Linked DNA regions of Lepisosteus oculatus. The protein of the gene in region 4 binds, or shares a complex with, the protein of the main gene of each other region. Links are inferred from orthologs where the notes say so. Each region holds a gene or a part of one and is shown on either strand. Other genes may lie near its edges.

Evidence for each region. The genes of interacting proteins can lie anywhere in the genome.
Region 1: the proteins of med4 (region 4) and med31 are in contact, whole or in part, in a cryo-EM structure (PDB 8TRH), measured with the Homo sapiens proteins. The link is inferred for Lepisosteus oculatus from reciprocal best matches to the Homo sapiens genes MED4 and MED31. Residues at the interface, in NP_054885.1 of Homo sapiens: Glu147, Tyr151, Arg154, Ile155, Asn159, Ala160, Val161, Cys162, Ala163, Pro164, Trp167, Arg173, Arg174, Pro175, Tyr176, Pro177, Met182, Leu186; in NP_057144.1 of Homo sapiens: Gln19, Glu23, Gln26, Cys27, Ala29, Asn30, Pro31, Ala64, Lys65, Tyr66, Leu67, Lys68, Tyr69, Pro70, Gln71, Asp98, Ile102, Trp105, Gln106, Tyr108, Ser109.
Region 2: med4 (region 4) and med1 share a complex: the UniProt entries of both Homo sapiens proteins name them as parts of the mediator complex. The link is inferred for Lepisosteus oculatus from reciprocal best matches to the Homo sapiens genes MED4 and MED1.
Region 3: med4 (region 4) and med19b share a complex: the UniProt entries of both Homo sapiens proteins name them as parts of the mediator complex. The link is inferred for Lepisosteus oculatus from reciprocal best matches to the Homo sapiens genes MED4 and MED19.

Annotation. Positions count from the first base shown.
Region 1 is NC_090721.1:9,979,387-9,986,928, forward strand, and holds the start of med31 (mediator of RNA polymerase II transcription subunit 31), read right to left. Parts: upstream 3,013-7,542; 5' UTR 2,812-3,012; coding exon 2,790-2,811; intron 2,555-2,789; coding exon 2,480-2,554; intron 1,386-2,479; coding exon 1,289-1,385; intron 247-1,288; coding exon 54-246; 3' UTR 1-53. UniProt on the Homo sapiens protein: Component of the Mediator complex, a coactivator involved in the regulated transcription of nearly all RNA polymerase II-dependent genes.
Region 2 is NC_090723.1:5,850,702-5,858,652, reverse strand, and holds the start of med1 (mediator of RNA polymerase II transcription subunit 1), read right to left. Parts: upstream 3,013-7,951; 5' UTR 2,918-3,012; coding exon 2,797-2,917; intron 1,482-2,796; coding exon 1,375-1,481; intron 599-1,374; coding exon 520-598; intron 1-519. Other genes in the region: cdk12 (cyclin-dependent kinase 12), read left to right, coding at 4,943-6,288. UniProt on the Homo sapiens protein: Component of the Mediator complex, a coactivator involved in the regulated transcription of nearly all RNA polymerase II-dependent genes.
Region 3 is NC_090701.1:41,770,520-41,778,318, forward strand, and holds the start of med19b (mediator of RNA polymerase II transcription subunit 19-B), read right to left. Parts: upstream 3,013-7,799; 5' UTR 2,882-3,012; coding exon 2,665-2,881; intron 1,331-2,664; coding exon 1,208-1,330; intron 1-1,207. Other genes in the region: tmx2b (thioredoxin-related transmembrane protein 2-B), read left to right, coding at 5,013-5,201, 6,308-6,368, 7,257-7,370. UniProt on the Homo sapiens protein: Component of the Mediator complex, a coactivator involved in the regulated transcription of nearly all RNA polymerase II-dependent genes.
Region 4 is NC_090710.1:30,648,485-30,655,653, reverse strand, and holds the start of med4 (mediator of RNA polymerase II transcription subunit 4), read right to left. Parts: upstream 3,003-7,169; 5' UTR 2,978-3,002; coding exon 2,907-2,977; intron 2,541-2,906; coding exon 2,474-2,540; intron 1,805-2,473; coding exon 1,634-1,804; intron 627-1,633; coding exon 569-626; intron 271-568; coding exon 184-270; intron 1-183. UniProt on the Homo sapiens protein: Component of the Mediator complex, a coactivator involved in the regulated transcription of nearly all RNA polymerase II-dependent genes.

The DNA of each region.
Region 1 (7,542 bases), on a different chromosome or scaffold from region 4:
GGCCGACGCCCGGAGTCTCCTCAGTTCAAGGGCCCCCCCCCCGCCCGCGGGCCTCACTTGGCCGCGGCGTGGCCGTGCTGCTGCTGCTCCGCCAGGGCCTGCTGCAGCCGCGTGCGCTTGCGGGAGTAGTGCTGCCAGTGCAGGAGCTGCTGCTCGTCGATGAACTTGGCGCACTGAGCGTTCACCAGCTCCTTGCGGAAGTGCTCGTACTGCAGCAGCTCCAGCATGTGCAGGCTCTGGGGGTACCTGGGCAGGGAGCGGGAGACAGGGGCACGGTCACACACAGGGGCACTAAGGCAGCTTTTAACGAGCGTTCAGGAGGAGGGACAGCCCTCAGATCCCCCTTCATCTCTGCTGCCCTAACTTGTATTCCTTGTGTCCCGAAAACCCCAGCAAGCCCATTACTTCCCTGCTTCTCTTTTAGCATCCCTCCTCCACCCCATCTCCACCTCTGCAGCTGCCCTTCGGTTCGTTTCCCCCCTGACTTCCATCACCCACAGGCAGGGGGCTGGGCCTCGGCCCGCCAGACTGCGCCTCTCTTTGTGCCTGACTTTTTCACATCCCCATGCAGAATGTATTTTCGGTTTGAATGTCATTATTCCTTAAGAATTAAACATGTTCACAAGACAGTGGTTTAACAATCAGATCACAATATTTTAAAGCCATAACTTACAGACTTAGAATCTAGCCATACTTTTGCTTTCACAAGCCCATACTTAATAATGATCTCCTCAAAATGAAAACACAATGAACTCTAACCGAAGACTACAGGAAGGGCCTGGGGTTTATACCTGTGGGTAACACCAGAACTCTGAAGGAAGGATCTACAATATCCCACTGCTCTTCCCACAGTATTGCACTGGAATTTCTCATGTCTTCCAGGCTGTTAGAATACTTTAAAGTGTTAACTCTGCCTTACTAAGGGGCAGATTCTGAGCCAGATCTGTAACTACACTGAGGATAATCTGATCAACCGATCTGAGAGGGAGGGGCACAGACTGACAAGTACAGAATACAGACAGCCTGGTCATGCAGAGACTGCGGTCCCAGCATGCGTAGGCTGCCAAGGAACAAGTAATAGGTTTATTCCATGCTGAATTGAGAAGAAAGAAAACACAACGTTTCGGCTGTGGAGCCTTCTTCGGGTGTCAGCCAAGAAGGCTCCACAGCCGAAACGTTGTGTTTTCTTTCTTCCCTTTTCAGCATGGAATAAACCTATTACTTGTTCCTTTGTAATAGAGTTGAGAGACCAAACAGCCTCTGAACACAGCCAGACACAGACACTCACTTCAGGTACTTGGCGTATTCCGGGTCCTTCCAGTACAGCAGGTACTTCAGGTAGTTCACAAAGGGCTTCTCTCGCAGGTAGCCTCTCTGAGCCAGGACTGGGACCACAAGACAGAGCCGTCAGATCACACTGCCTTCTCGCGCGGTTCCTATTTTCTTTTACTGTCAATGACTCAAATGCACTAAAGGAAAAGTTATCTATAAAACCCCTCTTGGGCTAGAGACAAGCGTTAATGTTGAGAGGTGAATCAGACCCGCTGTGCAGCCGAGAGCTCGGGTGGAACAGAACCCAGACCTCCATCTCGGAACCCAGGTCCGTGGTCATATTTTAATTAATAACGTACCGCAAGTTTAAATTGAGCACTAATTAAAAACAGTTACTCCATTGCAGCAAATGAGAGACAGGCAGAAGAGCAGAAGCTGCCGTGGTTTATTTTTCAGACCCCCAGGGCTCAGTCCAGGTTTAAGATGATATTTAAGCCAAATAACCCTGAAGCTCCCAGCTGTCACCCCACTGGAGCTCAGCAGGTGTGAGCCTGGCCAGTACCTGGATGGGAGACCTCCTGGGAAAAACTAAGGTTGCTGCTGGACGAGGTGTTCGTGGGGCCAGCAGGGGGCGCTCACCCTGCGGTCTGTGTGAGTCCTAATGCCCCAGTATAGCGACAGGGACACTATACTGTAAACAGGCGCCGTCCTTCGGATGAGACGTAAAACCAAGGTCCTGACTCCCTGTGGTCATTAAAAATCCCAGAAATCCCTTTTCTTTAAAAATTTAAAATCTTTTCTTTAAAATTTCTGCAATTTCCCAGAAATTCCCAGCCTCACACTTGCTTAGCTTCAGTGGGCTGCCAGTTGTGAGTTGCAGGGTGATATGGCTGCTGACAGATAGAGTACAATAAAGTATCTATCTAAAATGTGTAGGGGTGTCCTGGTCAAATTTCAGCCTGGTCTTTACTAGTCATGGCCTCCAAATAACCCCCATCTCTGAACTGGCTTCATCACTCTGCTCTCCTCCCCACTGAGAGCTGGTGTGTGGGGAGAGGACTGGTGCACCATCCAGGTGGGGCTGCACGCTGGTGGTGGTGGAGGGGATCCCCATTGCCTGTAATTGGTTTGAGTGGAGTGTCCAGAAAAGTGCTATATAAGCGTAAGGAATTATTATTATTATTAAGAGGGTGAAAGAGCGACTCACAGTTCAGGTAGTTGGGGTTAGCGAGACACTGCACGAACTCCAGCTCCGACTGGAATCGGTTTCTCGCCTGCTCCTCTGTCGGCGAAGAAGAGACAGCATTACAAACACGCCAAGGGACAGGAACCACGGATTCAATACTGAAGCACTCCCCATCCACCTCAACGCGCTGACGTACGCCCTTTTAGTATATCAGACATAAATTGCATACAAATAAAGACGAGATGTGCACTCCACTTTCACAACAACAGATAAATCAATACCCCCGACCGCACTACTTTCAGCTGGCGCAAGTAAACAGACCCGTACGAACCTGTCTCCATCGCCGTCGCCATAGCAGTCAGCGGACTCTCGTGTTCAATGAGAAAGCGCTACTCCTCAGAGATACAAACCCAGCCTTTAGCAGTGTAACCTGTAAAACAAATCTTTGTAGTCGAGAGGGAATAGTTTTAATACTCAAATGAACTACTTCGTTTAGCGTAACACAGCACATCCGCCATCTTGGCCGGAACTCGTGTATGACGTCTAACAACGCGACGCCCTCCCGGCAGTGTGTTTTTCCTACCCCAGTTCCTGTAGCAACACGCCCCATTCCTTTCCCCTCAGTTGCATAGACAATCTTGGGTGTGATTTCGTAGGACCCGTCTCCCAATTAGCAGAACTTGGGAAGCAGCGTGGCTTTGGAGTTCCTTTAACACTGAGTGGTTTGTTTTGCTGGAGAGTGGGTGTGTCCAGCACAACCTCTATATCTGAACCTGGGTGGGAGAATTCAGTTCCATCAGACTCCGAGATCACTGCACTCTCTTGCTGTGCTTTAAGATACAAATAAAATGAATCTTTAAGATGTAGAAATCAACAGGCACATCCAGCTGTTCGGTGTTCTTTTGTTACAATTTATTTGATATTTGAAATTAAAAATAAATTGTAACATTCGTAAGCAATAGTCTGCGCCGGCAATGCACAAGAGTATTAAAGAGGAGACCGTTCGTCCTATCTACTGTTAGTTGTAAATCGATCTAAGGATCTCATCTCATCCAGGTGTTTCTCGAAAAAACAAAACCGTATCGTCTTCAACTCCGTGGTTGTGTAGCTTGTTCCCGACTCCAACACCTTTTTGTGCAAAGGAGGGCCTCCTGCTCTCGGGTTTAGAATGCACTTCTAAGCTGTACAGTACAAGATGCACTCTGCACACGCAGTGCACGTTCATGCAGACTGAAGAATCCAGCTTTATAACACAAATTGCACAAATCACAATCATTTATAGGTTAATCACTAAAAAGCCACCTAAAACTGAGCACGTTATCCATTAATACTTGATTTTGCCTTTGTTGGGATTTTTGTACATAAGAAAATCACCATTTGATGTCGTACAGTTGTTATGTTACCCAGTTGCAGCTCTACGTGTGTGATAGCTCAGTATAGTGAGTGGAGTTCGGCAGTTTTTTATTTATTCATGCATAAACAATAAGAAAAATTACAATAAAAGCAAGCGTACATATAACAATTCAAGACAAAAACATCGTCAGGGGTAGTTCGTCCGCACTCACAACAGGTGGCGTGGATCAGTTCCGTTCAGTTTATTTGGTCATCTGCACGAGTGCAATGTTTGCATGTATGCTCCAATGCAGAGACATTAAGGAAACGCCGAAAGATACACATAACAGTAGAAGCACCAGCCACAAGGTTAAATAACACACAAGGTAAATACTAGTCAGTACACGCAGTGTGAAAACACACACCAGTGTGAGTCAGTGGTAGGGGCAGAGTTTAGTAATCTCATAGTTTACGGGAAGAAACTGTCTCTGGGTCTGGAAGTTAGTGCATTCATGCTTTATAACCCTTACCAGAGGAAAGTGGGGGAGTATCCTTAACGATACTTCCAGTCTTCCTGAGAGTTGGTCTCTTTTATTTCCAAACTTTTATTGATCATAAAATAATACAAAGAGACAACTGAACAAAACAAAACACACACACAAAAAAACACTGCGATCCGTAGGTAATTACAAAACTGAACACAATAAATTAAAACTTTACATAATCGAATCGGCGTTTTTTGCCTTGTTATTTGTAAGGTTGCTAATGGATTTTAAGTAATGTTGCAGTTCAATCTTAGAATCATTAAAGTAGGGAACAGAACTGGACTATTGTGTTTTGCGTATCTACCCAGTATAACTAACAGATTATTTATAAGAAAATGTTCCTTTTTCCAGAGTACATCTGGCAAATCATGCCATAATACCAAACTCCTTAAATTAAACATTCACGGTGAAATTCTTAAAGATGAAGTTTTGCAAGTATATCCAAAACACCTTTGTATATATGCGGATGACAAATAAATGTGTCAGAATGTCTTTTCCAGCCTTTTCCAACCGAACACACGTCATAAATTATCTTGATCATGTATGACCTTAGAAAGTGTTACAAGATAAAGCCTATGAACAAGATTAAATGTAATTTTTTAAACCTTGTTTGTAAGGCAATATGCGTCAGGAGTTGTCCAGTCTAATTTCCGGTTTATATTTTCATTCCAGAAGGATGTTCGGGAGGATTGAGGAAGTTTGGCACAGATTCCTTATCAGGACACCAGCCTCGCTCTCCGTCACCTGTCCATCCTCGGGCTGTATCCAATCACAGACGACCGTCTGACTAAACCCCACCCATTTCTCCTCCCTCACGCCAATACGGAGCGACGCTGCAGGAATTCGGGTAGAGAACAAGAAACGCGCCCTGGAGTTGTGCCGTAATGACAAGCCTGTCATGGCTGCGCCCGTGTGACGCAAGTTTCCCTTACGGCAAGAGATTGATCTGAATCACAACAGATTTCGCCTCCTGCGAAAATTCTGACCGTCTTCAGCGGTAGTAACAGCGGACCCTGTTTTTGTCAATAATCTCAAACATGTGACTACCAAATCAGTAGAAAACCAACATAAAAGCAAAAAACAATATCTATGTAATATGTTTTACATTTCTTTGCAAGTTTCGATGTGATTTCTGATGCTTTATTTAAGAAGAGGATGGTGTTTTTTGTATATGGGAAACTTGATTTTAACTGCAATTAAATTCTGAACAAGAGAAAATGACCGTTCAAACCAACCTGTCGGGTCGTCTGGGTACTAGACTCCGGCTTGTCTGCGTCGCCTTTTCATTCCAAGCGATATTATCATTGTTCAAAAGTACTTTAGACAAAATTAGATGGGTAGAATAGGCCACCCCCGCCAGTAATCTTTTTTTCTGGGCTAAAGAAACCGCAATTAGGGGAAGTTTGAACTCAACCCTAATTTGAACGTGTTTATCCGTGCTGTCCGCCAGGGGGAGCACTGCACTCGCGCGAAGGCTGGATTGAGTGGGGCGAGAATTAGGAAGTCTTCCAGGATATAAAACTATCCCACAGACCGTCTACTGCAATACGTCATAGCCTTCTATCATTGTTTAATATGAGGAGTCAGCCCTTTAATGTGAAGTTATCTAATCCGTGTCTCCCCCAGGTGATCCAGCCAGCTTCTTAAATGGTATATAGATCCTGTCGATTTTCAATTATGTAATTAAAGAGCTTTACTGCAGTAAAATTGTTTGTCGGGGCGGATTGGAGGTGCTGTGTGACTAATGATGCGCTGTGCTGGGGGGCCTTGTAGTTCAGCCCCGAAGCCAATGGGTTCGCCGCGGAGAAGGTGCCGTAGGTGCCACTGTCCACACGCCACTCGGGTGATTGCATGACAACATGTCTGCTGTGCGCGGGCTAGTGAAGACGACGCACGAGGAGTATGCAGCACGGTTGTTTAATTGGGTGCAAAAACCACACGCTAATTACACCCTCGCCTTTGTTTTGCTTCAAAAGGAATTTCCGATATATTCCCTCTCTCTCTCCCCTCCCCTATTTCCCCTCCCTGTGGCTCCAGTATTGTGAACTGTATCGCTGGGGGGTGACTGTAAATGTAAAAAATGGGAGATCCCACCTGCTCTGTCTGGTCGGGGATCTGCTGACGGCTCGAGAACAGACGGGGTTCATTCTCGTGGGGATCCCTGTGCCTGGGAAGGGTTCGGTGTCTCTGGGAAAGACGCGGCCCGGAACGGTCTCTCCGCGTTTCCACCTCTGTAATTTTCCCCGCAAAGTGCTGAAATCAACAGGAGGTGTGTGTGTGGGTCTGACGTGCAGGAGAGAAAGTGCTGCTGTAGGAGCGAACAGGCTGATACCTGCCGCCACCTCCCCCGCCGCAGCCCTCCGGACTGGGGGGCTGGAGATGGGACAGAGGGACAGCTGTGTGATTGAGCACCCAAGAACTCTAAAACCGGATGGGAACAAGATGTGACGGGAGAATGCTTGTATTATTCATATTTGCATTTTTTTCGTACCGTTATTCATTTCTTTCGCTGATGCCTTTATCCAAAGCATCTTACACGTGGACCCATGTATTCAGTTGGCTGCATCCGCAGGGAGAGAGCCACTGAGCGCTCTGTCCTGGGCCCGTTCCGCCTGTGCAAGGACAGACCCCCCGCCTCTTCCTCAGAGTCTCTCCTGTCAGCTCTGCCCGGGGTTGTTTTTCTCATACAAAGTTCTTTTGTCATTTATTTGCAACTGCTCTTGGGGTGGTGGGGGGTCATCGTCAGACGGGCCTCATTTCTGGTTTTAATGAGGTGAGGAGAGACGAACGGACCGCTGCCCTGCTGCCCGCTCCCCCGCCAGCTCAGAACCCGCTCTTCCTGGGCGTGCACGGGGGGGGGGCAGACTTCACACGGCATTCCTTTTCCTTTCTCCGTCTGTCTCCGTCTGCGTTTCTTGAGCCAGAACAGCGCAACACAACCCAGGGGACACATGCAGTGGAAACGGCGCATTCAAAACTGAGCACGGGAGGCATCGCTTTACACAAAGGGTGGTAGGGGTGTGGAACGAGCTCCTCAGCCATGATGCTGAATTTGATATCCTGTGGGTTTTTTTTAAAGAAATGCCTGAATGAGATGCTCAGATCAATTAGCTACTAACAACCAAATGGGCAGGGTTGAATGGCTCCTTTGCTTTGTGACTATTTTCAGTTATGTTTAATCGGTCCTGTAAGCTCCCTGGGAACACC
Region 2 (7,951 bases), on a different chromosome or scaffold from region 4:
CTCACACCAGCCGACCCCGACCCCTGGATCAGTTCGTCACCTCTGCCCATTCCTCCTTCCCCGATAGCAAACCCACTCTCGCCCGGAGAAGGCTAACATCGAGCGGTTCTTTTCCAGTCCAGGCACCCAGATTTTACCTGGACCTCACTGGGAAGAGATGCAGAGCTATAGAAGGTAAAGGGAGTCTGCCAGTGCTGGGCTGTCCCCTCCTTCACAGCGTGTGGTGTGACTAACGGACTGCATTTCCTTGGAGTCTGAATACCTCCTGTACAGCTCTGTAGAATTCCAGAGATATAAACATCTTTTTCAAAACTCTTTAACTATCATAAGCTTGGAAAGAAGGAATTCTGAGATGGCAGATGAAGGAATTCACACAGGTGCACTCTGCTTGACCCACCACGCCCTGCCAGGGCCCGCTTCTGGGCACTGTTCTGTGCAATGCCAGCTGTGTGGTAACTTGTACCGCTGCCCTGATCAGCTCCACACAATCAGCCCTCCCCCACACCCCAATCCCCTCACCTTTCAGGGCTCTCTGCAGCGTCTCCAGGCAGGTGAGCAGGAGCTGGTGTCCCCCAGCATTCAACACATTGCGCTTCTCCTGGGTGGCGGGAGAAAGAGAGATTGAAGGCCTATTAAAATGCACACAATACCCCTGTAATACACACCCCCTGACTGCACTAGCATGACCTTCGCCCTTCTGTACCAAGTCCTCCCAACATTTCGGGCTGACCCCCCCAAGAGCAGCGGGTCCTGAGCCCTCTATCTCCCCCACACTGCTCTCCCCATCCTGCCCCATCCCTCTTCTCTCTCCCTGCTCCTGCTCTCACAATTTTCTCTTATTTGATCTGAATTCTAAGATACAACTTTTGCTTTTTCAACGTCTAGTTTATATCCAGATATACAACCATATTTCTCCAGGAGGGCCTCAAAAAGAAACTGGCTAACCACAATCTAATAACAGTAATAACTGTTCAAACTGTAATATATATAATATAATTATACTAATACTCGTCCAGACTAACCAAAATTGCTCTTATCTTTTGAGCACTGGTGTTTTGTAATGTGAAGAGAATGTCTAATGTTGTCAAGAGTTTGTCTATCCTGAATAAATCCCTTTAGATCTAAATTCATGAACAGAGAGAATATTTGATCCAATCTTCAGTACATGATTGATGCGACAGTCCACATTGAGCAGTGAGCTCTGGGGGAAAGACACACATCTAGCCTGGCCTTTCTCTTCTTTGGAGATTGACTTGAAATCATGGTTTCCTCCCAGGAAGGGGGCAGGTCTGCTCCGGTGCCCTCTCTCTGCCCCCACTCCCCCCCGCATGTCCTGGTGCCTTTATGAGCTCCACCCTCCTCTCCCTCACTCACCATAGCCTGCCGCACCACCTTGCTGGTCTCCTGCCATGGCCGGGAGGCGCAGTGTTTGGCATGAAGCCTCTCCAGTAGGGCACCGACTCTGCTCTGCTTCTCTGCCTCTGAAGGGCGTAGAGGGCACAGGGTTAGGAAGACACACAGAGCACTCTCATAGGGAACAGGGCAACACACACACACAGAGCACTCTCATAGGGAACAGGGCAACACACACACACAGAGCACTCTCATAGGGAACAGGGCAACACACACACACACACACACACACACACACACACACACACAGAGCACTCTCACAGGGAACAGGGCAACACACAGAAAGAGCACTCTCACAGGGAACAGAGCAACACACACACAGAGCACTCTCACAGGGAACAGGGCAACACACACACAGAGCACTCTCACAGGGAACAGAGCAACACACAGACAGAGCACTCTCACAGGGAACAGGGCAACACAAACACAGAGCACTCTCACAGGGAACAGGGCAACACACACACAGAGAACTCTCACAGGGAACAGGGCAACACACACACAGAGCACTCCCACAGGGAACAGGGCAACACACACACAGAGCACTCCCACAGGGAAAAGGCAACACACGCGCACACACACACAGAGCACTCTCCCAGGGAACAGGGCAACACACAGAGCACTCTCCCAGGGAACAGGGCAACACACGCACACACAGAGCACTCTCACAGGGAAAAGGCAACACACGCACACACAGAGCACTCCCACAGGGAAAAGGGCAACACACACACAGAGCACTCCCACAGGAAACAGGGCAACACACACACAGAGCACTCCCACAGGAAACAGGGCAACACACACCGCTAGGCATTTGGTACACAAGGCTACACAAAACTGACAAACTTATCTCAGAGGAAGAACAACAGGTATACTACATACAGCTGTAAAAGCCGCGGCAACCCACTGGCACGGACCCCAAAACTCCCTGCTCCGCATGCAGGGCGATTTACAGCGTTATGGAAGTGCAGATCAAAGAGCTTTCAGGTAGGGTTTCAGGACCACCTCAGCACGATGTGACACTGTTATGATTAAGGGTATGTCTCAGAGGAGCGATCAGCCAAGATATGCGTAGATCCAAATGGAAAGCAAACACGCCTGACATCAAAATGAAATCAAAAACTCATAAAGGGGGAGGAGATCGTCTTATTTATTTTTTTGCAATTTCAATAATTCAATGACTCTTTTCTTTGAAAACGAAAAAAGGCGAAAAGGTATATAAAGGTGATTTTCACTGGCTCCGGTCCAACCCCTGGCGCTCCATTCATAATTTCTAAATAATATTCTCAAGATCTCAACGCAATACAGTAACAGATCAGCGAGAACGCGATACTGTAGCTCTGCCGATCTGCTGTCGACCCCCGATTTCCCCCGTGAGCACGTCATTACCTGTCCCCTCCTCAGGTCTGGGACGATCCCCGATCGTAGGGGGCCCAACGGTCGGTGCCCCGGGCCCGAGTTCTCTCGCTGGGCTACAACCCGATATAACAACCCCAGAAACCGCCGCCATTTTCAATATAAAAATCTTCCGTCGCGCAGGGTAGAGTTTCCGACAAGACTGCCGGGGGCGGGGGGGCGCGGGGTTGTGGCGTCATCAGGAGGCGACTCGGACCGAGCAAACGAGGGTGGAGGTGCTGTAACTGCGGATCAATCGTTTTTCTGCTTTGAAGGACTTTTCTTCAAGAAGCCCCCGGCGACGATAAGGACGTGGCAGATTTTATAAATAAAATCTAATCTGTGTTGAAAGCCATTGCAGATGCTGCTGCTGTTAGTTCTAAAATAATAAAGGCGGAGCTGCAGATCCAAAGATATACCGTGCGTGTGCTATCCGATGCAGTCTGGTTTCTTACTGGGGATCCGGCCGGGCATCCCCCAACAACCTCGAGAAACGTGGCTGAAACCTGTCTCCGGTCCGAAGTAGTTTCAACTTTTCATTTGTTCTTCAGGTGTGTTGGTTGTGTAGAATACAACGTACTAGGAAACGTTACGTGCTTGGTCTTCTGAGCGTTACAAGCGCCAAGAAGTTCTGCAGAGAGTTTTGTTCAAAGAGTAATGATTTACCTATAGAACAGGAAGAATTAAGTGACAAGAGCACAACGGATAATGCATCAATATATATAATATTGCGTAATAAATATGTAATGAAAGTACCGTACAATCTAAGTTCAGCTGACTTTTATCGGCGTTTGCGTATTTAAAAAAACGCCTCTCTCTGGTACCTTCTTAATTTAAAAGCACAAAGTGTTTATGGATTGCGTAATTGATTATTTATATGTAATAAACATTTGTGCTGTGCGTTCCATCAGTTACGGACGTCTAAAAGCAAATAGTGTTTTACTAGTAACGTGGTTTTGTGTTGTGGCAGACGTTACGTATACCCATTGATAGCCTACGTAATTTATAAAACGATTTCGAGCACAAGGAGGTTCTGCTGTCCGTTTAAAGATTAACACGTGAGCTGGTTACATCTGTGCATGGTTTGTTATAAGGGCGAACAAGTTCCCGTTTAAAAACTTGCACCTCAGTGCATTTGAACTTTTCACAACCTGTGGAGTTTCTCCGGTCTCTTCGTGACGCGCCACCTAGAGGTTAATTGGTGGCACTGCAGCCCGTGAGAGGATAAGGGCGGAGCGTCGCTCTGGAGAGGCTGTTGCCCGGTGACGACGAAGATTGACAGCAAGTGAGACTTCCGGCTTCGGCTTGGGGGAGAGAGAGCGAGGACAGAAGCTCAACCTGCTAGAAGGAGCCACAATGGCGTCTGTCCTCTCGTCTTAGCAACAGGGGCAGTGGGTGTTCTAAATCCGCAAACATCGCCCTCAATACAGGCCTGTTAGACTCTCAAGGCCGTTCAAAATAAACTAGAACATCTGCTGCACACGAATATACTGTCATTTCTGACCAATATCAAATATAAAGAGATTAAAAGATTGTCTATATAAAACCGAACATGTAAACAGTACCAACCGGTTCAAGTTTTCATTTTCAGTTTTGTGAAACAATATCGCCCATTCATCATGGATTATGCCTGTTTCCGAACTCCAAGACCGTAAACTGAAGGAATCAAGGCACCTTCCCTGAAGCCTGCTACAGGGCGAGGGGGATAACCAAAAGAGGTGTTGTTTTTTTTCTTTTTGTTTTTACAAAAGAAAAAATAACAGCACAAGTAAAACTGAGAAACGAGGAGAGAGACAGCACGATTGTAACGACTTCATTTAAACCAAACCTCTGCTTGATTTAATCAGCTATGAAACTACACGCTCATCCGCCTATTATGTCTATTTTTCGTTTTGTTTCTTCGTAAAAAAAAAAAAATCTTTCCTTTGAAGGAAAACCAAAACGCCGGACCCAAGCCGCGCTGACCTAGCCGGAATGAACTCGGATTAAGCGTTCGGGACGGAGAACACGATCTGAATTTTTGTTTTTATTGAATCTTTTTTTTTTTCCTGGTGCTTTTTTAGGTACTATTCGCCCTTTAATGCATCGCCTCGGCTGCAGAGGCCCGCATTTGGGAGAAGCGCCGCTGCTAGCGTGAGGGATGCCCGGTTCAGACAGACAACATGGGTCGACCAGGAGGAAGCCGGATCCCAGCGCCAGCGTCTCACTGCCGCCCGGCAGCAACAGCGGGGCCTTCCAGCACCTGCTCCCGCCGCACTCCAGCGCCCAGGCGGGCTGCGTGACGGGGAAGGACGGGAAGCTCATCGCGTCGTCTTCCTCCTCCTCCTCCTCCTCCAAGCGCCGGCGGCACAAGTCCTCCAAGCACGGCCGCGAGTCCTCCTCCTCCTCCTCCTCGGCGCTGGGCCAGGGCCAGGGCCCGGCCGCTGCGTTCGCCACCCTGGGCCCGGCGGCGGCGGCTGCGGCGCCTCCAGCCGTGAGCGCCATCAAGCCGCTGGTGGAGTATGACGACATCAGCTCCGACTCCGACACCTTCTCGGACCCGCCGGCGGCGAGGTCGGCGGTGGACCGGCGAGGCGGGGAGCGCCTGGACGGCGGCTCGGACTACGGTAAAGGGGGCGGGGGCAGCGGCGGGGTGTCCGGGGAGAGCCGGGGCCACAAGCACCGGCACCCCCGCAAGAAGTCCAAGGACCCTCACAAAGTGAAGGACTCGGGTGGTGGGGGGGGTGGAGGAGGAGGAGGAGGGGGGAGCTCGAAGAAGAAGAGCAGCCGGGACAGAGAGAAAGGGACGTCGGGGAAGAGCGGGAAGGAGAAGACATCTGCCTCCGCCTCGGCCCCCTTCAGCCCCGGCTCCACCAGGCTGGGTCTGCTGGAGGGGGAGGTGGGGGCCAAGCTGGCGTCGTCGCTGCCCTCCTCCGCGGCCCAGGCCCTGCTGGGGACCGGGACCAGCACGGCCTCCTCCTCCTCTTCCTCGCGGAGCAAGGACGGGGGCGGCGGCGGCGGCGGCGGCAGGTCGGGCAAGTCCCGCAAGGAGAAGCTACAGCGCCGCGGGGAGCGGGGGGAGTCCCGCGGCTCGTCCCAGAAGGACCGCCGCAAGTCCTCCAAGAGCTACAAGGCCAGCCCCAAGGGCAAGCCCTCGTCCCGGGGCGGCGCCGGCGGCGGGAGGAAGCAGGCGGCCGCCCCGCAGTCCCCCAGCCCCAAGCGGGGGGCCAACGACAGCCCCCCCGGCGGTGGGTACGGCCCGGACGGCGGAGAGGACGCCTACCACCACCATCACCACCACCACCGGCGGCGGGCCCCCCCGCCGCAGAGCCCCAGCCCCTACCGGGACTCGGGGCGCCGCAGCCGGCAGCGCTCCGACAGCCCCTACGGCAGCCGCCACCGCTCCTCCAGCTACGAGCGGGACAGCAGCCCCTACCCCAGCAGGAGGCGCTCTTCCGTCAGCCCCTACGGCAACCGCCGCTCCTCCAGCGCCAGCCCGGTGTCACGGTGAGTCCCGCGCCACGCTTCTGGGGGGTGAGGGTCACGGGTGACCCGAGAACTCAGGTTGGAATTTGTGGTGAAGAAGGGGGTGAGAGGCTCGGGTTGGATCCGACCCCCATTCTCTTGAGTCCTTCTCCGGCCTGCCAGGTCCAGTGCTCTGCCCCACAATGCAGGGCAGATTGACCCTAACTCTCCGGCCACCCGTCAACTCCAAGGGGAAGCTGCCATCAGGGCTGCCAGGTCCTCATAATATTTGGGAAAAGGGCTCCTTCCTACAGGAGAGCTGCTGATGATATTATTGGCGTGTCTTAAGTTCTCAAGAGGATGTAGAGTAGACCAAACGGATGTATATCAGTTTACTGACGTGAAATGAGTGTGTATACCGAGCTGATCATGTGTAAATCTAGGGTGTGTTGTCTACTTTCGTAGCTTCTGAAGGCTCAAAAGGGCCTTCAGAGCGTTCTGCGCACAGGAGCGCAAGGTTTCGGAAGGCCCTGTATGGGGCTGGGGGCAAAGTGTGGATTTGTAATCCTGGGCGCAATTTCTTCCTCATTTGCCCACAGCAGCTGTCTGTTTCCTGAGGTAGGCCAGAGCAACAGTCTTTCACTTTTCTTGTTTGGCTGTAAGTGAAAGCACCAGCACAGCGCTTCAGTAATTTCGGAGGCCGCAGTGTGCTGCACAGAGCTGGAAAATGCAAAACGGCAAGACCAGCGTTCTGCTCACCAAGTGTTGCAGTGTCAGTCCTCTTTCTCGTGTAAAAGTGTCGTGTGCTCGCTCAAGATGGCAGCAGGCCATCAGTGGTTGCATCTAGATTGTGTTTTTTTTCAGTTTTTCAAATTATGCTTTCAGCCCTTTCTCCATCTCGAAGCAGCCGGGAAAGGGTGCAAAAAGTCCTAAGAACTCTGACTAAAAGGCAGAGCTAATAACAAACTTGTAATATTGATGACTGGCATGCTGTAGTTCCCTTTGATCAGTGCCAGCAATCAAAACTGTGATAGTGTTATTCTCTGTAAGGGTCTAAACTTGGGGTAGTTTTGTTTTGAGTAAAGAGCTGCTTAGATCTGTTAAACAAAACTGCACATGTCATGGAAAGCATGCAAATGAGTCAGCTCAATTCATTTCTTCAAGCACTCGTGTTGAGGGCAGCCTGGTGGGGCAGTGGTGAGCATCACTGCCTTGCAAGTGCTGGGGCCCGGGGCTCAATTCCAGACCTGGGGTGCAGTCTGCATGGGGGGTGTGGGAGGGTATGTTCTCCCCTCTGGGGGCTGCAATTTCCTCCAACGGTCCAAAGACATACCGGTAGGTTAATTGGCTTCTGTAAAAAAAATGACCCTGGCGTGAGTTTGTGCATGTATGTTTGTGAATGTGTGCCCTGTGATGAAAGAGATGAACTGTGACTTAACAGTCCGCTGCTCCACATGCCTTAATGTCTTTTTCTCCAGTTTTCTGTTTTTGGCAGACGATGTGTATCAGTGGGGAGAAATGAGGAATAGCCCCAGCCTAACAGGGATGACTCTGTGCCCTGTAAGTTGGGGACCTGTAGAGTCTGTCTCCCTGCCCTGTTGCCCTTTGTTGCAAAATAAATTCCAGCTCCAAAGAGATGCTGGTTTAGGTCTGTGAGTCTCAAACTGAACCTTGAACAGAGAGCAGGCGGGGGATGGGTGTCCAG
Region 3 (7,799 bases), on a different chromosome or scaffold from region 4:
ACTGCACTGAGAGAGAGGGGTGTCAGCCTCTCCTGACACCTGAAACATCCCGGCCCTCATCCTGCAGCATCAGATCCCCTCAGACTGGTACCCTCTGGCGCTCAATGCGCTTGGCGGACCAGTCTCTTGGAAAGCTCAGACACCTGCCTCCTCCGGCATGCCATACAAGAGACGGATATCTGACCGCACAGGGAGGGCACACAGTATAATGGACAGCAGCCATATCACCCTGCAGCTTCCAGCTGGCAGCCCCCTGGAGCCCAGCAGTAGGGAGCCTGGTCAGTACCTGGAGGGGAGACTCCTGGGAAAGCTAAGGCTGCTGCTGGAAGAGGTGTTAGTGGGGCCAGCAGGGGGCGCTCACCCTGCAGTCTGTGTGGGTCCTCATGCCCCAGTATAGTGACGGGGACGCTAGATTGTAAACAGGCGCTGTCCTTCGGGTGAGATGTAAAACCGAGGTCCTGACTCTCTGTGGTCATTAAATGTCCCAGGGTGTTTCTTGAAAAGAGTAGGGGTGTTACCCAGTGTCCTGGCCAAATTTCCCCCTGGCCTTTACCCATCATGGCCTCCTAATAATCCCCATCTCTGAACTGGCTTCATCACTCTGCTCTCCCCCCCACTGAGAGCTGGTGTGTGGTGAGCAGACTGGTGGTGGTGGAGGGGATCCTCATTATCTATAAAGCGCTTTGAACCAAGTGTCCATAACAGCGCTGTTTAAGTGTCAGGAATCATTATTATCCAAAACTGGACAGATTGCTCCTGCCAGTCAGCAGATTTAATTGCAGCGCTTGTTCTTTCTCACACTGAAGTTGTCAAGATGTCTCTCCAGGGCTGGGAAGACGTTGTAATGCGGTTTCAAGGAAGCACGACGGGAAAGAAACATTTCCAAAATCAGGGGCTCTTCAGCCAGCAGGGGACGAGGCGTCCAGAACAGCACCGTGGGGTTTTCCACTGTGTAACCTCAATTTAAAAGGCAAAACTAGTGGATTTTACCCATGACAATAGTAATAAATAGGACATAATTACTCATCTGTAATACGCCTCTCTTCGCCTACATGTACTGAAATACTCCAGTTTTCTGCCATGACTGAGGGAGGATGCTGTGCACATGGTGACGTCCGGAGAGTCTCTCGGCCTGAACCGAGAGCAGAGAGACAGAGGAAAGGACAGGCAAGACAGCAAGAGTGATGTAACCCCAGCCACGTCTTACCAGGCAACTCAGGCAGGAAATTGCTGAGCTTCTCCTTCAACTTCTTCCCACAGAACTTGTTGTAGGCGTGCTCCAGGTTATAATGGGTGATCAGGTTAGTGTTCCCAGTCAGTTCATTCCCCACTGAAAGAAGGGCAAAAGATAATAGCTGTATTAGAAACTACAGGAACACTGCCTGACTGCACACTACAGTACATGAACACTGCACTGAGAGAGAGGGGTTAATACAGTCCAGACACACTGACTGGACACTACAGGACATTAACACTGCACTGAGAGAGAGGGGTTAATACAGTCCAGACACACTGACTGGACACTACAGTACATTAACACTGCACTGAGAGAGAGGGGTTAATACAGTCCAGACACACTGACTGGACACTACAGGACATTAACACTGCACTGAGAGAGAGGGGTTAATACAGTCCAGACCCACTGACTGGACACTACAGGACATTAACACTGCACTGAGAGAGAGGGGTTAATACAGTCCAGACCCACTGACTGGACACTACAGGACATTAACACTGCACTGAGAGAGAGGGGTTAATACAGTCCAGACCCACTGACTGGACACTACAGGACATTAACACTGCACTGAGAGAGATGGGTTAATACAGTACAGACACACTGACTGGACACTACAGGACATTAACACTGCACTGAGAGAGAGGGGTTAATACAGTCCAGACACACTGACTGGACACTACAGGACATGAACACTGCACTGAGAGAGAGGGGTTAATACAGTCCAGACACACTGACTGGACACTACAGGACATTAACACTGCACTGAGAGAGAGGGGTTAATACAGTCCAGACACACTGACTGGACACTACAGGACATGAACACTGCACTGAGAGAGAGGGGTTAATACAGTCCAGACACACTGACTGGACACTACAGGACATTAACACTGCACTGAGAGAGAGGGGTCAATACAGTCCAGACACACTGACTGGACACTACAGGACATTAACACTGCACTGAGAGAGAGGGGTTAATACAGTCCAGACACACTGACTGGACACTCCAGGACATTAACACTGCACTGAGAGAGAGGGGTTAATACAGTCCAGACACACTGACTGGACACTCCAGTACATTAACACTGCACTGAGAGAGAGGGGTTAATACAGTGCAGACACACTGACTGAACACTATAGTACATTAACAGTGCACTGAGAGAGGGATTAATACACTAACTTACAGGACAATAGCACACAAAGTTACAACTGAAACGGAACAGCAACGAGACGTATTTAGTTTCAAGCACAGTTCGGACACTATATTCATCCTCTCAAGCTCTGCACTGCTGTGCCCTGTACAATACATCTCTGAATACTTTTACCGACTTAAAAAAGAAACTATTGAATGATACTGAATATTTTACTTCCTCGTCTATAACGCAAAGTCTTATCGAAGATGACTATGTGGGCGAGCGCAGTCTGTTTACCTGGAAGTTCCCGAAGTAAATAAAAAGGCTCATTCATCGCTGCGGGCTTCCGAAGAGGAGGCCCCTCATCCCCGAGCTGTGGTGGCATCTGTACCGCCATGGACACCTGATTCTGGGGTGGCGGCCCCGGCTGTTTACCCGGCCCGTAGCCCAGCGTCGAGGAGCCGGGGGGACCTTGAGAGTCGCTTTGTCCAAACAAAGAGAAAATTTCCGTCATCGATGCAGAAAAATGTTAATTTTAAGAAATAAAAAAAATAAATAAATCTTGGCAATTTTAACACAAATACTACCAAACCACCGCACCGTGCTTCGCGTTGTTTTGCTCTGAATCCGTGAGCTTCCGTACGACAAAGCAAACTGGGCGCTACCGTCTTTCTTCATATATAGGAGACTCAAAATGAAGCAGTGAACCGCTGTTGCATGATTCAGATCAAATTTGCACACCAGACGCAATTACAATGGTGCAGACGTTTAGTGACGCATTCTCGTTTTTATTTAAATACTGTATAATTAATTAGCATTTAGGAATCACCGGTCTAAATTCAGTGTCACATCAGTGAGCAGGCGAATATTATTAATGGCGTTGTTCTTCCACTTAAGTACCTGTATTCTTCACTATTATCCATTATGGAGAAATGTAATATTCTTAAACAGCTGAGAGTAGTCCATCTGCCCCGTCTATCCTGTTTGGCACTAGGTGGACAACTGATCCAAGGATCTCATCCAGCTGTTTCTTAACTCCCACCCCCCTTTGTGTAAAGAAGAAGCTCCCGTCCTGATTGGAGGATCTCCTCCAGTGCTGTCACTGCACTGGCTTCAACAACAACGCGGCTGGGGTGCTTGCTCCACACTCCCACCACCCTTTGTGTAAAGGAGCGTCTCCTCTCCTAACTGGAGGATTACATCCAGCTGTGTCTTGCAAGACGTTACTGTATCGGCTTCAACAGCTAGACTGTTGTTTGACACTCTCACCACTTTGTGGAAAGGGTCACAGGTGTCACACAAACAGAATTGATTTGTGAAGGTTTTGTCCTACTGCCCACCCACCCATCTCCTGTCCTGCTGGTCACTCAGCTGTTCCTTCTCCTCGTTCTCCTCCATTGCTGCCCGAACCGCAGTGCTCCCTCAGGGACTCAGCCACTTTCCCTTTCTCTGTCTCAGCACAGAGCTGCGGTCATGTCTGAATCGCCTTTTGTTTTTTACAGTAATTTCTTTGGTATTTTTGTGTATAACACTTCTTATTTGGTATTTTGACAGTAGGTGTCAAACCATGTATTTTGACTATGTGTCAAAACACCAGCACCTGCGGCTCCCAGCTGGCAGCCCCCTGGAGCCCCCTGGAGCTCAGCAGGTGTGAGCCTGGTCAGTACCTGGAGGGGAGACTCCTGGGAAACCTAAGGTTGCTGCTGGAAGAGGTGTTAGTGGGGCCAGCAGGGGGCGCTCACCCTGCAGTCTGTGTGGGTTCTAATGCCCCAGTATAATGGCGGGGTCACTACACTGTAAAAAGGCGGTGTCCTTCAGGTCCTGACTCTCTGTGGTCATCACAAAAACTCAAAAAGAGTAGGGGTGTTACCCCGGTGTCCTGGCCAGATTTCCCCTTGGCCTTTATCAGTCATGGCCTCCTTATAATCCCCATCTCTGAACTGGCTTCATCACTCTGCTCTCCTCCACACTGAGAGCTGGTGTGTGTGAGCAGACTGGAGCATCATCTAGGTGGGGCTGCACACTGGTGCTGGTAGGGATCCTCATTACCCGTAAAGAGCTCTGAGTGGAGTGTCCAGAAAAGTGCTATATAATAACAATAATCATACATTATTATTATAATGCGCATTATTATATAGCGCTTTTCTGGACACTAATAATACTCGTATATAAGTGTATAGAATTGTTTATTTAGGTTTAAGCTTTTGTGTTCATTTGACTGTTTATGTTAACAGCCGACACCAAATTTAGAGGCGTACAGTTTCTCATCTTTACGGTACAATAAAAGGCTAATTTTACGTATCAATAAAGCTCATTCAAAAACTTCCCTTTTACAAGGGCCTTACAGTGTATGTCACAATGCCCGATCAACCGAAAAAGTCCTATCCCTTTGCAAAGAAGAGTGACAGCTGTAATATCCAATAATATCCAAGATGTCTCCACAGCTAACCAATCCGATTACGCAAGAGGCGTGGCTTTATGTCTGTTGTTTGTCCGCAGTGACCTCTCTTCACTTCCCCTTTAAATCTTCCCTGCGACCGCAGACTGTTATTATTTGTCGGCGGACAGACCTCTGTGTGCATGTTCGTCTGCACCAGCAATCCGCCGCATATATATAGTGGCACTCTTGTTTGAGAGTTATAAAAATGGCGTTACTTACTCCCCTCCTGGCGTTTCTGTATCACCTTCCCCGGGTGTACAAGTGGCTGCTCAAGCCGTATTATGTGGCGTCAGTGTTTTTGTCGGTGATTTTCTTGCTGGTGCGAAAGACGCCGGGGATCTGTGAGCACTTGTCTACCACCAGAGAGGACGGCAACTCCTGCGATTTCGACTGGGTGAGTCCAGGGTTGTGATTTTAGAGCAGGCCGGTACCTCCGCGACTGACCGGCTGGTAGAGAGAGACACTCGCCAGTGAGCTCAGGTGTTGGTCATAGGGCAAGTGGGGAGACAGAGGGCGAGGGGACTGTTAGGACAGGGAGAGTGTTGGAGAGGACGAGGAGAACCAGGGCTGGGGACCCTGAACTAACTGGACCGGGTCTGTCCAGGGCCAGGGGTGGGAACCCTGTACCAACTGGACCGGGTCTCTCCAGGCCCAGTGCTCGGGACCCCTGTACTAACTGGACAGGATCTCTCCAGGCCCAGTGCTCGGGACCCCTGGACTAACTGGACAGGATCTCTCCAGGACCAGTGCTCGGGACCCCTGTACTAACTGGACAGGATCTCTCCAGGACCAGTGCTCGGGACCCCTGTACTAACTGGACAGGATCTCTCCAGGCCCAGTGCTCGGGACCCCTGGACTAACTGGACAGGATCTCTCCAGGACCAGTGCTCGGGACCCCTGTACTAACTGGACAGGATCTCTCAAGGCCCAGTGCTTGGGACCCCTGGACTAACTGGACAGGATCTCTCAAGGCCCAGTGCTCGGGACCCCTGGACTAACTGGACAGGATCTCTCAAGGCCCAGTGCTCGGGACCCCTGGACTAACTGGACAGGATCTCTCAAGGCCCAGGGCTGGAGACCCCTGTACTGTTTTGCACACAGCACTGGGGCAGCAGGCAGCTGGTGTGTCCGTTGGCCCTGATGTGTTTACTGTACACACAGGGGGAGAGGGGGCTGAGGGCGGCCACTGGCCTGGGGTGATGTAGGGTGAGGAGCTGCGGGAGGGTGCAGGTGGGGGTGGGAGGGAGTGTGGGGAGCAGTGGGAGAATGTGAGGTGCCGTGGGTGGGTGTGGGAGAGTGTGGGGAGCAGTGGGAGAATGTGAGGTGCCGTGGGTGAGTGTGGGGTGCTGTGGGAGAGTGTGCCGTGTGCCGTACCCCTCTGAGCAGTCTGTTGGGTGTTGGTTGTGTTGCGATTGGTAGTGGTAGCAATGGCTGCTGTGGGCTGGTGCGTGTCAGTGTGCTGTCCCTGTCGCCCTGACGTGCTGTGTGCTCTACCCCCAGAGGGAAGTGGAGATCCTCATGTTCCTCAGTGCCATCGTGATGATGAAGAACCGGAGAGCCAGTAAGACACTCCAGTCGCACAGGGGCGCTCGTCTCGGCTCCGGGCGCGTCCGGCTTTCTAGCAGCCTGAGCGCTCAGGCGCGCAGTGGGTCTGATTCTTTCACAAACTGCTGAAGTGTAACATGTGGAGCCTGGCTCTGAGGTGTTTGTAATGAACTGTCCCTTTAATGAAGTGTATTGTTTAAAAGCTGATTATTCAGCTTAAGGAACATCCTATCTGGTTGGTAGGAAAACCAGAAGGCATCAGGCCCTCAAGGAAGTGAGTCTGACACCCCTGTCCTGATGCATGCAAACCCCAAATAATGTACTGATGGCCAGTGGGCAACCGGTAGGTGGCGCCCTTCCCTCTAGACCAGAGTTTTCAAGCCAAGCCTCAGAATGGGGAACAGGAGCACTATGCTGTAGGACATGCTGTCATTCAGATGTTGACCCCAGTGTCCTGACTGAAAAGAGTAGGGGTGTTACCCCGGTGTCCTGACTGCTGGTCATTACAGACCCAGGACACTGTCAGTGAGAGTAGGGGCATTAACCCCAATGTCCTGACTACTGGTCTTTATACACATTTAGTGCAGAGGATGAGAAGTAAAACGGAGGTTCTGACTCTCTGTGGTCATTAAAAACCGCGGGGTGTTTCTTGAAAAGAGTAGGGGTGTTACCCCGGCGTCCTGGCCAGATTTTCCCCTGGCCCTTACTAGTCATGGCCTCCTAATAATTGTTTTGAATGCCTGTGTTCTTACATTTGGGCTGTGCACACACTTGAAATACACATTCATTCAGTGTCAGCAGGGGCATACACGTGGTATATAGTGTATAATGTGTGTAGGTATAATATGCTATACACTTGCAGTTAAACCTGTTAACTGTGTTTAAAACCCTTTCTCTTCTCCAGTCACTGTGGAGCAGCACGTGGGGAACATCTTCCTGTTCAGTAAGGTGGCCAACGTCATCCTGTTCTTCAGACTGGACATCAGGATGGGCTTGCTGTACCTCACTTTGTGCATAGGTCAGTCAGATAGCTACTGTAGGTACTGCCGGTTCTAATACTCTAGAGCGTCCCCTCACTCTGTACAGGCAGGGTGGGGGAACTGCAGTTCAATAATCCTTATTAAACTGGAGCAAGTCAGTGGACCTGTACGCTGTGAATAATCACTCCAGGAATTATTACTAAGTAATATATATGGCTTATGTTTTTTATGCTAAGAGACTTCTATTTGCCGCCATTTTACTGCTGTGTATCTTACTGGAGCAGTTCAGGTGAAGCACCTGGCTCAACAGCGTCTCACTTGGGATTCGAACCCTCAACCTTCCACTTCCGAGTTGATTATGCTGCTCACAGCGCCTACTATTATAGCATATACAGTATTGTGGTTGTTGGCATTAATCCAGCAAAGATGTTGATGATGGGAGACCTACCAACACTAACTCTGCTACA
Region 4 (7,169 bases):
GCCCTCTTCAAAACTGGAGATTTCATAAATTTAAGATTTGTATGGGACTTTGAACCAATTTTAATTATTAATTAACTTGCCAGACTGTCAAGCAATTAAAAATCTGCACTGCTGGGACTCTGTCCCCAGCTCCAGTCGGAAGGGAAGCCCCAAACCCAAGTTCTCCAGAGTACCCAGCCTTACCTGGCACCCAGTTGAGGGGAGCACATACTGCATTGCTGGCACTGATCCTGTGAGCATATTTAATAATTTCTTCGGAGGAGATGCTTCCTGAAACAAAGACATTCACCATTAAAGCACATTCTACGTCAGTATGTACCATCCGCACACTGGCTACTTGAAGGGATCGGTTTGGAAATTCTGACCCAGAACGGTTGTTCCTACCAGTGCTTTACCTACAGGACCATGTAAAGTATCTTCAGCAAAAAAAAAAAAGAAACATTTTTGAAAAGCAGCTCTTTTACGTGCATCATGCTCATGATTTTTTCTATGCTTGATTAACTTGAGAAATTATTAATGAAACTTACTGAAAGACCTATCAATATTTTGAAATAAAAATAATCTTGACCTTTTCTTGCTTTTTCTATGGACTTCAGTTTCTCCTTTGCTTGGTATACAGCAGTTGCCTAAAAAGAAAGAATAAATGAATAAATCTTACTATATTATTTTAAACACATGACTGGAAAAACTTGAATACTTTGACTACACCTAGTTGACTACAACTACATAGTCCGTGTTATTATATACTAGAAACTCCCTGCAGAAGTTTTTGGAAACTTTATCCAAAATGGCATTGTTTCTACAACACGCTCATTCAGGGCACCTCAGGTCAATTCCAGATCACCCAGATAACATCCTATACTGTATCTCCTGCAAAAAAGGCCCAGCTATCTACGTTGGGGAAACCGGAAGGAGACTAGGAGACCGCTTCAGATAACATGTTAGGGCTGTGAAGATGAAAGATTTCTCCAAGCCCATAGTTTTTTTTATTATTTCGCCTCAGACGGCCATGATCACACTGATCTCTCGGTCTCTTTTCTCAAAGAAGGGTTTCTCAACTCCCACAGCAGAAAGACTACAGAAACGAAACTCATCCTGAAACTAGGTTCACACCTTCCCCTTCTCTCAATGACTGACTTATTCTTGTGTAATCTTCTCTATTCTCAGGCAGCTCTTCACCCCTCTCCGCTTTGCACTTCCTGAGTGGCCTCTCTGCCTCCTCCTCCCCTCTCCGAGCTTTTGTTCTCCTGTGCCATTTAATCTTTGCTGTCTGCCCTGTCTTTCTCACACCTGAAGAAGGCTCCACAGCCAAAACGTTGTTTCCTTTCTTTTTTCTTTTCTTTTCAGCAGGGATTAAAACCCATTACCTGTTCCTTTGTTTTTACATTCTCACTTTTCTTCACAACAAAACCTCAACATTTCACCAAGTGCACTGTTGTCAAGATTAGTGAGGAAAGAAAAATGCAGCCCCAGCGCTACTATTAGAAATATCTGTAATCTAAATAAACTGTTTTTGACTATGAAGAAGCAGTTGACTAGATACATATTGCAAGAAAACCAGTTCAAAGCCAAAATTCCTAGCAGAGGGGTCCGATAGCAATACAAATGTCTCTGTTTTAGTCACCCTGCTTACCAGTATGTGCTCGGCTTCTTTCAGCTGTTTCTGCAGCTGCTGGATATCGCTGTCTCTCTTCTCCACCTCTTTCTCCAGGAGCTGCATCTCCAGGTGGACCTGACCTTGCTCCTGAGCCACTCTCATCAGCTCCTGGAACTCAGTGTCCCTCTGCACCAGCAGTTCCAGGATCTGCACAAGAGCACGCCCTCTTAAACACGCTCCACTGCCGAGCCGGGATTTCCACTGGGAGACGAACAGTTCTTTCTCAGAAGCGGCTTGACTAAAGTCGTCTCGTTACCCAGAAACAAGGTGGGCCCCCCAAGAGGGTCTATGTCCACACATGGAGCATGTATATTTTAAATCCCTGTTCCTAAACCTTTTTGTATGTCAGGGACCAGCTCCCTAAGGTCCTCCTCGCTCGAAGAAAGCCTAGGCTAAAATTAAAATAATGGAAAACAAGTACTGGATGCATCCATTTTGGTACAACTGCACCTCTGTCTGTAAGGTCTCGGCAGGGACCAGTCAGCATCGTTAAACAAGCATACAGATGTGTTTTCTCTCTTCTCTTTTCAGCATGGAATAAACCTATGAATATGCGTGTAACCACCCACTGGAATAATTTGACAGATATTCAATGTAGTGTAAATGTGTTTTTTAATAAGTTAGCCCGGCTCCACTGAGACAGGCTCTGTGATTGGTAGGGATCCGAGTATTTGTTCCTCCTAAAATGTAAGCTGTTTACGCAGGCACGCTTTTTGTTTTATTACAACAATTCGTTTGAAAGTGAATGATGTGCTGTTGAAACAAAATAAGATCACCTTCCAAAGGAGTTTACTCGAGACGAAAACGTAGTTATACCTGAGTCTCTTCTCCAGGCTGGGGCAGTTTCTGATTCCTCGACAACGCCAGCATCTCAATCAGTTCCCTGCAGTTCATATATACAGTTAACATAAGCAGATCGTAACAACTATTGCACATAACCGAGGCAACTTAACAAAGAAATACAGATACTATACAGTAAATGTAAATATCACTTTTTATAAGAATTTCTTCTTGTTGTTTTTTTTCCACAAAACGTGACAAATAAATATAACATTTCATAACCTTTAACACGCAAAGTGTCTAGTTTGTCAAACTGCATTGAAGCTCAGGTAAAATCAGTTGCTCTGTGATAGCCTACACAGGCCAACATCCGAGTCCCCGAAATCCTTTCAGACCTTTTCTGTTCCACTTTACTGTCCACAGGGTAAAGTCTTTCTGGCGTAAATACTGTATTTCTCAGCGAGCGTACCTGGATAACACCTCCAAATCGTCTAAAACAGACAATAACCGATCTTTAGTTGATCTATCGGAAGCCGCCATGATAGAGTAACTTTCATAGTGCGCATGTTCACACAGACAACAAATCTAGAGAGACCGGACAAGACAGAAAAGTCGTCACTAAAAATCAGTGGTGACACCTAGTGGAGAGATGTCTTTATAACCAGGGAACAACAAGGGGTCGATCATCGTCCGGGGTTAAATACGATAAACCTGATTGTTTTTCATTTTTTATGTGTTGTTGTTTGTTTGTTTGTTTGTTTGTTTGTTTGTTTGTTTGTTTTTTAAAAGCTGGGTCTAGGGTTTGTTTATGGCTGGAAATCCTCTGTATGTATTACCCGCATTTACCTTATTTGTACACATACAGTAAATACGTGTCTCTAGAGGCAATAATGAAATACATATTAATATACAAGAATACTAGTGCAGGAGGGGGTTAATTTACAATAGATTGCAACGTCCCCCACAAACCACACGTAACTAGGACTCGTTTCACTGTGTTCAATGTGATTAACCTGTTCCTGACAAGGCTTTTTTATAATAAGAAATATAAACTATGGCTCAATACATAGGGATTGGCAATAGCTGAAGTATAGTGAGCACTACTTGGGCATTTGGAAATAACCAAGCAAGGGAGATGAGTGACCGGCACAGAAACACTTCTGAATATGTCTTTTAGGACAGAGCTCCCTCTAGCCAATGAGCAATCCAGATTCAGAATCTTTCTTAATGAAATAAAAAGAATCAGAGAATCAGAGAATTTGGCATTTAAGAGCACAAAACAGGCCCTTTATTCACAACAACAGATGTAGACTACTGCTTGCACACACCAATCTCACAAGAATTTTGGGGGGGTTTCATTGGATCATTGACTATAAGACCAAGCTTCAAAGAAAACAGCTCATCAGTGAGGAGCTCTCTTTCTGCCACAGTAATTTGTTGAAAACCAATTCATTAGATGGATTGGATTTGGATTTATCAGATATTGAAGATGTCTGTGGGGATGCTGGACACTTGCATTAAGTCCCATTGTAGTCTCCTCTGTTCATGATTAAACAGGCTGTCAGTGCATGACAGTCCCTGAAGCCCTGGGATGTATCTGACTGCTCCTGGCTGCAGTGATGCCAGAGCAGCACAACCTTAATATAATGTGCTGAGCAGAATTATACACAATATTCCATTTAAGGCTTACTAGTGCATCATGCAAATTCAACACAACACATCTTGTTTTAATTTTAATATCATAAATATTTATTCTAACATTTTGCTTACATGTTTAATTACTTTATCACAGAAGATATAAATGAGGTGTCAGCGTAAACTCGTAAGTCTTTTTAATATGCCGTGTCTTCTTTCTCTGTGTTTCCCATTTTGTATTCTTAGCTTAGGTATTTTGCCAGAAGAAACTCTGCGCTTGCCAACATTAAACATCATCTGCCAGGTGTTTGTCTGGTCTTGTATTTTATCTCTTTCTTTTTTAGGTGCTTGTACAGGATTTGCTCATCTTCCTAATTTGATATCATCTAACAAACCTTACTACAAACCGTTTTACTAGCTACACCACAATGTAGGTCATTGAGATACATATAGGATAGGAAGAGTAATTATCCTAGTGCAGATCCCTGTGGTACTCCACTAGTTTCACAATTACACATGAGTGCAGAATACACCAGAAGGAAAATCTCAGAGCCATAGTTGACGAATGCCAGTGCTATTTAATCTCTCACCTTTGTCCTGTCTGTATGCTTGTAATAATAATAATAATTGCTTACACTTATATAGTGCTTTTTCTGGACACTCCACTCAAAGTGCTTTACAGGTAATGGGGACTCCCCTCCACCACCGCCGCCAATGTGCATCCCCACCTGGATGATGCGACGGCAGCCATAGTGCGCCAGAACGCTCACCACACATCAGCTCTCAGTGGGGAGGAGAGCAGAGTAATGAAGCCAGTTCAGAGAGGGGGATTATTAGGAGGCTATGATTGGGAAGGGCCAATGGGAAATTTGGCCAGGACGCCGGGGTTACACCCCTACTCTTTTCAAGAAACACCCTGGGATTTTTAATGACCACAGGAAGTCAGGACCTTGGTTTTACATCTCATCCGAAGGATGGCGCCTGTTTACTGTATAGTGTCCCAGTCACTATACTGGGGCATTAGGACCCACATGGACCGCAGAGTGAGCGCCCCCTGCTGGCCCCACTAACACCTCTTCCAGCAGCAACCTTAATTTCTCCCAGGAGTCTCCCATCCAGGTACTGGCCAGGCTCACACCTGCTGAGCTTCAGTAGGCTGCCAGTTGTGAGTTGTAGGGTGATATGCCATTCTTGTAAGTATGGATTATAAATATTTACCTTTTTAGAAAGCTCTCATTCAAATTAGATCAATCAGACGCAGTGATAAAAGATAAATCATTCTTGGAAGAAATTGGTTGTCACTGGTGTACAAGATGCAAGACGTGGAGTACAGGGCAGACCCGAGTCAAGGAAGAACGCCATTCCTAACTTCAGGGAGAGCAAGACTCGATCTGAATTGTCTCCTTGAAAACCAGACGTATCTACGGTGTTTCTTCCAATTGATTTTTTTACTGTTTCGCTCTAGAACTAAACCAGTTCTTCATTAATCGGGGTTGCTGTTAATTTGTAAACCTTTGAGAGGTGATTAAAAGCTGTTCTGAAACGTATGTTGAATTACTAAAAACAAAGGTCTTCCCATATATAGGACGAAACACATACATATTTTTAGTTTACTAACGTCTTTATCCAAGGCAAGGTAAAGTTTTCACAGAGTAGTAACTGTTTTGTATTTAAGTAGCCAAGGGAATTGCATTGGGGAAAAAAATAACGTTGATAGTACAAAGTCTAACTTAATTCCAAGCAGTTTTCACGTCTTCATAAATGCACTTGATTCAAAACTCGAGTTTTTATTCCCCCGGACTTCATGATGGTGATTTTTTTTTAAAATTGATAACACTTTTGATTAGAGAAGGGGGTGGGTTTTAGTTTCTGTCGTTATGGTTGCTAACTCGTATCGTCGCTGCTGGAAAGGCTGAATCGATTCACAGATCATCCGACTCCAGAACGGCTTCGTGATCCTGGAGGTTATCTTCATTCCCGCAGAGAGAGAGAGATTTTATTATTGTATTATTTTTATTTGCTTTGGCAACACTGATTGTACCTATTGGTCATGCTAATAAAGCACCTTGAATTGAAATTGAATTGAATTGAGAGAGAGAGAGATAACTCTCTCTCTAGAATCATCCTCCGTGTGCAGAGAAAAACTCCTAACAACGGGTGCAGGGCCGAATTAGGCCAGTACCCACTATTGATAAACATACAGAAAAGAATATTAAAGTATTGGCTACACCTAAAAAACAGTGACCAAAATTCCTACCACCACAAAGCCCTGCTGAGCCAAGAGCTGAGCCCAAAACAGAGCCCCCTGAGCCAGCTGGTCCTGAGGCTCACCGACCTGAGCCACACCAACACTAACCAGCCTCAGGACAGCACTGCTAGAGCACCACAACCCAGACTCAACCACATCACAGCACAGATCAAACAGCAATATCTCACACACTGGGACACACACACACAAACACAACATAAACTGGAATGCTACAGAACCTTAAACAGACAATACACACTAGCTGAATATTTGACCAAAATAAAAAATAACAAACAGAAACAGACCCTGACGAAGTACAGGCTCAGTGACCACAACCTGGCCATAGAAACTGGGCGACACAGGCAGACCTGGCTGCCCAGAGAGGACAGGCTGTGCTCCCACTGCCAGCAGGGAGAAATAGAGACAGAGGTGCACTTCCTACTGCACTGTGACAGATACTCTGGGATTAGAGAAACATTCTTCCCGAAATTCAGAAATCTAATCCCAGAGTTCCCACACCTGCCAAAACCACAACAGGTCCCAATCCTACTGGGAGAGGGAGGAGGGAACTCAGTTGATCTGGCAGCCCAGTATGTGATCTCCTGTCACAGCCTGAGGAACAGTGAGTCCGTCTCCCAATAATGCTCCAGCCGCCTACAGTATATGTCGATATTATATAATATGTCTTTGTTGTAAATGTCTGTAACATGTCTGTAGATTTTATTTTACTTCTATTTTTTGTTTTGTTCTATGTTAATTTTATTATTTTTATTTGCTTTGGCAACACTGATTGTACCTATCGGTCATGCTAATAAAGCACCTTGAATTGAATTGAATTGATAACTGTCT